Linked DNA regions of Sus scrofa. The main gene of each other region encodes a partner of the protein of the gene in region 2 in a complex. Links are inferred from orthologs where the notes say so. Each region holds a gene or a part of one and is shown on either strand. Other genes may lie near its edges. The genes, in order: GEMIN2 and STRAP.

What was found.
Region 1: STRAP (region 2) and GEMIN2 share a complex: the UniProt entries of both Homo sapiens proteins name them as parts of the SMN-Sm complex. The link is inferred for Sus scrofa from reciprocal best matches to the Homo sapiens genes STRAP and GEMIN2.

Annotation. Positions count from the first base shown.
Region 1 is NC_010443.5:169,682,404-169,686,227, reverse strand, and holds part of GEMIN2 (gem-associated protein 2), read right to left. Parts: intron 2,839-3,824; coding exon 2,722-2,838; intron 443-2,721; coding exon 398-442; intron 1-397. UniProt on the Homo sapiens protein: The SMN complex catalyzes the assembly of small nuclear ribonucleoproteins (snRNPs), the building blocks of the spliceosome, and thereby plays an important role in the splicing of cellular pre-mRNAs.
Region 2 is NC_010447.5:56,723,310-56,727,133, forward strand, and holds part of STRAP (serine-threonine kinase receptor-associated protein), read right to left. Parts: intron 1,983-3,824; coding exon 1,886-1,982; intron 780-1,885; coding exon 642-779; intron 1-641. UniProt on the Homo sapiens protein: The SMN complex catalyzes the assembly of small nuclear ribonucleoproteins (snRNPs), the building blocks of the spliceosome, and thereby plays an important role in the splicing of cellular pre-mRNAs.

The DNA.
Region 1 (3,824 bases), on a different chromosome or scaffold from region 2:
GGTCATCCAGAACTAGAAACACCTTTTTGATCTCAGTATTTATTTCAAACCCCAGAATCTAAGACTTATAACTAAAATGTATATATGTGAATAGTTTAGCACCATGATCAAGAGCATGAGTTCTAACATCAGATCAACCTGGGGCTGAGTCCCAATGTCACCATTAAAATTCACTGAAAAACCACCAAGTGACTTTAATTCTGTTTCCTCAGCTACAAAAAAATAGGTATTAATAATAATCCCCCATAAAGGGTTGTAGTGAGGATTAAATAAGAACTGTTACAAAGTCTAGAACTGGGTCTTACATACTGTAAATATTCAGCAAATTATTTAAATATTTTAACACACATTGCAAACAAAAGAACACTTAACATTCTTATTATCAGACAGACTTTACCTGATTCATTCTGCTAACAATGCTAAGCAAGGGAGGAAAACCAATCTGAAAGAAAAATTAAATTGAAATTTACTAAATAGTATTACAAGGAGGGGGCTTCATTTTTTTTTTTTTTTTTCCAAACTGGTGAATTTCTCAACACACTGTTATTAAAGAACAAAGACTAGATAAAAGAAAAATTTCTCCACTGTCCATTACAATAAAATATTCCATGAGCTATTATGTTGGTAATGCCCAAGAAAATAATGTCTTAACATTTGAACACGTAAATTAAAACCAAAGAACGATTTTAGTAATTAAGATGTTAAAACGTGAAACTGAAAAAAATGATACTATGACATTAATATGTTGTATACACTTTTTCAAAATCTTCAGCTAAAGTTATTATTTTCAGGAATTAAAGGCACTTGAATGAGTTTTTTCAAACCTAGTCTGCTTCAATTTAAGAAAGTGCTTTGGAATTTAATGCGGGAAGCCTGGATTATGAAAACAGTCCTGACTTGGTGCGAAACTTGAGGACATGCATTAAACTTTTATGTTCTTAAATTGTTCTTTCACATGATATGCTTTACTTGTATGTATTTTGGGTTTTGTTTTGTTTTCTTTTCTTTTTAGGGGTGCACCCGTGGCATATGGAAGCCTTCTAGGCTAGGGGTTGAATCGAAGATATAGCTGCCGGCCTACACCACAGCCACAGCAACGCGGGATCTGAACCATGTCTGCAACTTACACCACAGGTCGTGGCAACGCCGGACCATGGACCCACTGAGCAAGGCCAGAAACCGAACCTGCATCCTCATGGGTACTAGTCAGATTTGTTTCCAATGCTCCAAATGGGAACTCCCTCACCTGTATGTATTTGGTAATAACGAACTATATATATTTTAATTCTGTGTCAAATTAAAATATATTATGGATATTATCCCAAAGAACATAAGTTGTCTAAGAAACAGTGTCAAATTAGCTCCCTTAGAGATTTGAATCTGTCTACACTCCCACTACCATGTGTAAGAGTGCCTGTCTTCCTAGCCTTTGTTGACTCAGTGTATCAAATTTTCTTTACCAATATGTCATACCAGCTCAGTGCAATTATAAGTTAAATTTCTATCATAAGTGAGTCTGGGCATCTTCTCATGTAAGAACAATCTGTATTTCCTTCTTGTGAGATGTCCTTTATATTCTTTGCCTTTTTTTTTTTTTTTTTAATTTGGGTTCTTGGTGTTTTTCAGTGATTTTTGGAGCTTTACATTTTGGGGCTAAACTAATTTTACTTTATTTATTTATTTATTTTTTTAAAACTAATTTTAATAGGAAAAACACAATGTGGCACCACACAGAAAATGATAAATATCTATTCAACAGAACAACATAGTTTCAGGAGTTACTAGTAATGCAGATGAATACAGTGAGTTTCCTTGGAACATCTGCACACTTGAAGGCAAGCGAATGCTGAAGGCAAGCGAATGCTAAAGGACAAGAAGCAGATAGCTACATAATTTATGATTAAAATAAAAGTCACGTGAAATTGGAGTTCCCATTGTGGTGAAGTGGAAAAGAATCCAACTAGGAACCATGAGATTGTGGGTTTGATCCCTGGCCTCGCTCAGTGGGTTGAGGATCCAGCGTTACCATGAGCTGTGGTGTGGGTGGAAGACGTGGCTTGGATCCTGCATTGCTGTGGCTGTGGTGTAGGCCAGCAGCAGTAGCTCTGATTAGACCCATAGCCTGGGAACCTCCGTATGCCACGGGTGCAGCCCTAAAAAAAGCAAAAAAAATAAAATAAAGTCACGTGAAATTAAAATATACCCTCAACATTTAATCTCCAGAATATGAATTTATGAATAAACATTTTAAAGCACCTAACTTTGTTTCCTTGACTACTTATAACTCATTGTTTGACTCATGCCTAATGGTTTTTTAAAAAAAGAATCCTATCTGACAAAATTATTAAAAAGCTAAACCATAAGAGATATGAAGCTAACCTAAAAAGAGCCACAGTACATTGTTTTATAAATGAGGCTATCAATTTTTAAGTCAAAGAGCCAATGAACTAAGTTAGGGATTGGCAAGTAATTTCCGTAAAGAGCCAGACAGCAAATATTTTAGGTTTTGTAGACCATATACTGTCTAAGTCACATTATTATTAATTTTTTTTAACAACCCTTTAAAAATGTAAAAACTATAAAGTTTTTATGTTTAGCTCATGAGCTGGACAAGAACAGGTTGCAGATTGGATTTGGCCTAGACTGCAGTTTGCTGAGTCTTTACATGAAATCATGCACTGAAATTATAATTTTTCTTTGTGTAGCCACATTATCACCTACTTGTACATAATCAATTCCAGGACTTTCACTTGCAGCTGGTCCAACAGTAACTCCTTCAGCACATAACCTTTCACCGAGACAAAATTTTTTCCAGCCTTCTTCATCTTCAGATTTTGGCTAAAACAAAGAAAAAAGAAGAAGAATTTAGTTATTCCTATATAATTTTTAAAGAAAATACTCAACAGTGAAAAAAATAAGTGAGAATTCCTCTGTATCCCCACCACCTCAACACAAAGATATACTGCCTGTTACGAAAGAGTGAACTGTGTAGTCCTAAAAATCACGTGCTGCAGTCCTAACCCGCAGTACCTCAGAATGTGATTATTTGAAGTCTGGGCCTTTATAGCAGCAATTAAGTTAAAATGAGGTAGTTAGGGCAGGTCCTAATCCAAAATGACCTGCATCCATAAGAAGAGGAAATGTGGACAGAGAGCTATTACACATGTGTGTGCACACAGGAGACTATGTGAGGACAAAGCAAGAAGATGACCATCTGAAACCAAAGAGAGAGGCCTGAAGAGAAATGTACCGACACCCTGATCTCAGACTTTGATGGTCACACCAGCATTTAGTTTGGATTGTACTTTATTATTTACTTATTTTTTTATTTTATTTTTTTTAGGGCTGCATCTACAGCATATGGAAGTTCCCAGGCTAGGGGTCAAATCGGAGCTGAAGCTACAGGCCTACACCACAGTCACAGCAATGCAGGATATGAGCCACGAATGTGACAATGGCAGCTTGCAGCAATGTCAGATCCTTAACCCACTGAAGGAGGCCAGGGATCGAACCTGCATCCTTACGGACACTGTGTTGGGTTCTTGACCCACTGAGCCACAATGGGAACTCTATAGTTTGAATCATACTTTATGGACAGTGACAAACAAGAGTGTGTTCAAAAGAGGGTGATAAAGATAGGAGCTGATATGGGACACTAAGAATGCTTACAAGAATAAAGGATGAGAATCCCAGGGAAGGAGACATGATTACATATTCCACATACTTAAAGGGCTGTCCAATCAAATAAGAAATATTTATTCTACATTGTCAGACTGAAAAAAAGCAGGACCAATTAGGAGCTCTCTTGTGGCACAGTGGGTTAA
Region 2 (3,824 bases):
GGTTTTACACAGTAATGAACAACATTAATTATAGCACCAGTCCAGTGATCCTTTCAAGAAAATTATAAATTGAAAGTTGTTAAATTTTACCAATAAATGTCCTAAGTATCTGGAAATGAATTTAACTCCTCTGCTTAAAGTATACCACATTCTCTCTCTTTTTTAAACAAATGTCTCTATATTTTTTTTTTCTATAACTTTTTTGGGGGGCTGCACTCATGGCATGAGAAAGTTCCTGGGGCAGGGATTGAGCCCATGCCATAGCAGTGATCCAAGCCACTGCAGTGACAATCCTGGATCCTTGCTGCACCACAAGAGAACTTCTAAATTCTTAAGGAACACATTATTATTGGGTATGGAAACATTTCCCTCCATATTACAGTAATAGGCCAAGACTTGTCTTTAAAAGAGTTAAATACTTAGCATATGACTTTCAATTTTTTTATTATTATTTTATTTTTTGGCCATGCCCTCAGCATGCAGAAGTTCCTGGGTGAAGGATCAAACCTGAGCCACAGCAGTGACAATGCTGAGTCCTTAATCACTAGGCCACTAAGGAACTGCTACCTTCCAATTCTTGAGTACCTTAAATTGCCCTTTTGTTACCAGAAAAGAAAGTAAAGGTATTTTTTAAGACATACCTTATTGCACTATGAAAAGCAATAGATCGTCCATAAGTTATTACCAAGATCTCTCCCTCAGGAATATATTCCATACTGCTAACAGACATATTAAAATTTAGAGATTTCACTTCTGTCATAGTAGCATGGTCCCAAAGGCTGGGGGGGGAGGGAAAAAAAGAAGAGAAAAATAAGCTAGTGTTTACTCATTGAATAAAAAAGCTTATAGCTTAAATTACATCTGCAAATTAACCAATGAAAGACTAATCACTTAGTAAAACAACCTCCATTCCAACTCATAAATCACAGACGATACTGAGAAATTTTGGGTTCCTACAAAACATCAAATTATTTGGTCACGTGTTGGTAAAGTTAATATTAATATTTTAAATATATTTCCCAAATGATTCAGCAAAGCTATGCTATGAAGACACTTATTTCTCAATCTAATCAATTTCAGTACTTCTCCAAATAATAATTATTACATTCTATTTTTGTGAGTCTGATGACAACCTATTTAACTTTACATAGAAAAATACATTAGGTATCAGCTCACAAAATTGTGCATAGGATTTCAGGGGCTTAATGGACTTTCTAAGGCCAACCTGTCCACTGACCCAGATTAAAAAGACATGCTTATAAAGGTGTCAGCAGTTTTAATTGTCTTGTGAATTCTGCTCTATGTTTATAACAGTAAATGATGGATAGCTCCAGAAGAATGTGACCTATATAAAGCCAAAGTTGTAATGTTCAGACACAATCCTTCCTACATAATAGTTAATTTTTTTAAAAAAACTTAAGCTCTAAGGTCAAATAATTTCTCAAACTTAATTTTTTTTTTGGCCATGCCCTCAGCACATCTAAGTTCCCAGGCCAGGGGTCAAACCTGAGCCACAGGAGTGACCTAAGCCACTGCAGTGACAATGCCAGATCCTTAACCTGCCACAAGGAAACTCTTGAACTTTAAATTATTAAAGAAAAATTACTGGAGTTCCCATTGTGGCACAGTGGTTAATGAATCCGACTAGGAACCATGCCCTTGCTCAGTGGGTTAATGACCGGCGTTGCCGTGAGCTGTGGTATAGGTTGCAGACGCGGCTCAGATCCTGCGTTGCTGTGGCTCTGGCGTAGGCTGGTGGCTGCAGCTCCGATTCGACCCCTAGCCTGGGAACCTCCATATGCCGCGGGGGCGGCCCAAGAAATAGCAAAAAGACAAAAAAAAAAAAAAAAAGAAAGAAAGAAAAAGAAAAAGAAAAATTACTTACCGAACAGTTTTATCATCAGCTGAAAGAATCTGTTTATCCTCACTGCACCACAGAGCCTTTTTAATACCAGAACTGTGACCACTGATTTCCTTAGGTTCTTAAGGTAAAACAATTTAAACCATATTTGTTAATATGTGATTTTTAAAACAAAGCAGCATTTGAACAACTAAATAAAGAGAAAAGAAAAACTATCTTTTAAATTGGACAGTGACTTCTCAAACTCCATCACAATTTAAACTTGATGTTCACCTAGAATACATTTAGTTTTCCCATACTAAAAAATTTCTCTGCATGACAAGGAACCCACAAACTATGATGCTATATGTATCTAGGATTGAATACAGCACTCCCTCCAACCTACCCTTCTGCTTTCAAAAGCATTATTGTACCACATGAAGTAAAAGAAGAACTAAGATAGCCTAACTTCATAAAAACACGCGCCCAGGGAGTTCCGTCATGGCACAGTGGTTAACGAATCCGACTAGGAACCATGAGGTTTCGGGTTCGGTCCCTGCCCTTGCTCAGTGGGTTAACATCCGGCGTTGCCGTGAGCTATGGTGTAGGTCGCAGACGTGGCTCGGATCCTGCGTTGCTGTGGCTGTGGTGTAGGCCGGTGGCTACAGCTCCGATTCGACCCCTAGCCTGGGAACCTCCATATGCCACAGGAGCGGCCCAAGAAATAGCAAAAAGACAAAAAAAAAAAACAAAAAACATGCACCCAGGCACAAGACAGTTGAGCTAATTCTAGTGCTATCAGTAATGCTAGGCCCCTCATCCACACCACTGTTAGCAGGGCAAAGCATCAAAAAAGTGGGAACCTGTCTTTCCTTTCAAAAGATTAAAAAACCCAACAAAATCACCTGTTACCTCTGGACAAAAAACAATGTTAAAGGCAAGTTCATTCAACACAACTTAACCTTTTGAAGACTATATTTATTTACCTATAAACGGATTAACAATGGTTACTATACCTGAGAGTTCAATGAGAATATGCATTTAAAGAATCAAATGAGAATATACATTTAAAGTTTCTTTTTTTTTTTTTTGCCTTTTCCCCTTCAAAAGTACAGTAAGTTACTACAGTTATCTCACATTAAATTCCCCAAGTGACAAAATCTCTTTTCCCAAAGTTCTGTGTGGGGGAACTTGGAGGCTGGCCAGTGGGAATAGGTCCAAAGAGACAACACTAGACCAGTACTATGATACCAACTTACTCTTTGGCTGCATGATGTCTGTGTGGACAGCAAGATCTGAATGCAGAACACAGACAGATGCTGCTATCATTCACAGATAAAAACCGTGCACACATGGTCATGCAGCCCATCTACATTTTCTAATCTGATATCTGACAGACAGTAAAAACTCAGTTAATTGCTCATCTTTCTAATTCAAGACAGTGTAAGAGCCATTTTCAAAAAGCAGCTTTGAGAAAGGTAAAAGATGAAAAATGTTGGCCTAGGGCCGAACTATACTGCTGAGTCAGACAGTACACTGATTAAGTGAGGTCAGAGTAGTTTGCTATGTTTATTAGATAGAATAAAGAGAGAAACTCTCATGCCAAAGGAGAACAATCCATAAATGTAGTTTGTTTCCTCACCTTTAATTTCCAATGTAGCTTTGACTTTCTTACAAACTTCTAAAAGTTTGTTGACTTACGAATAGTGCCCATGATACAAAATTTAAGAACCCAGAGTTCCTGTTGTGGCGTAGCAGAAATGAATCCAACTAGTATCCATGAGGATGCAGGTTCCATCCCCGGCCTTGATCAGTGGGTCAGGGATCCCAAATTGTAGTGAGCTGCAGTGTAGATCGCAGATGTGGCTGAGATCTCACATTCCTGTGGCTGTGGTATAGACCAGCAACTGTAGCTCTGATTTGACCCCTAGCCTGGGAACCTCCATATGCTGAGGGTGTGGTCCTAAAGAGCAAAAAAAAAAAA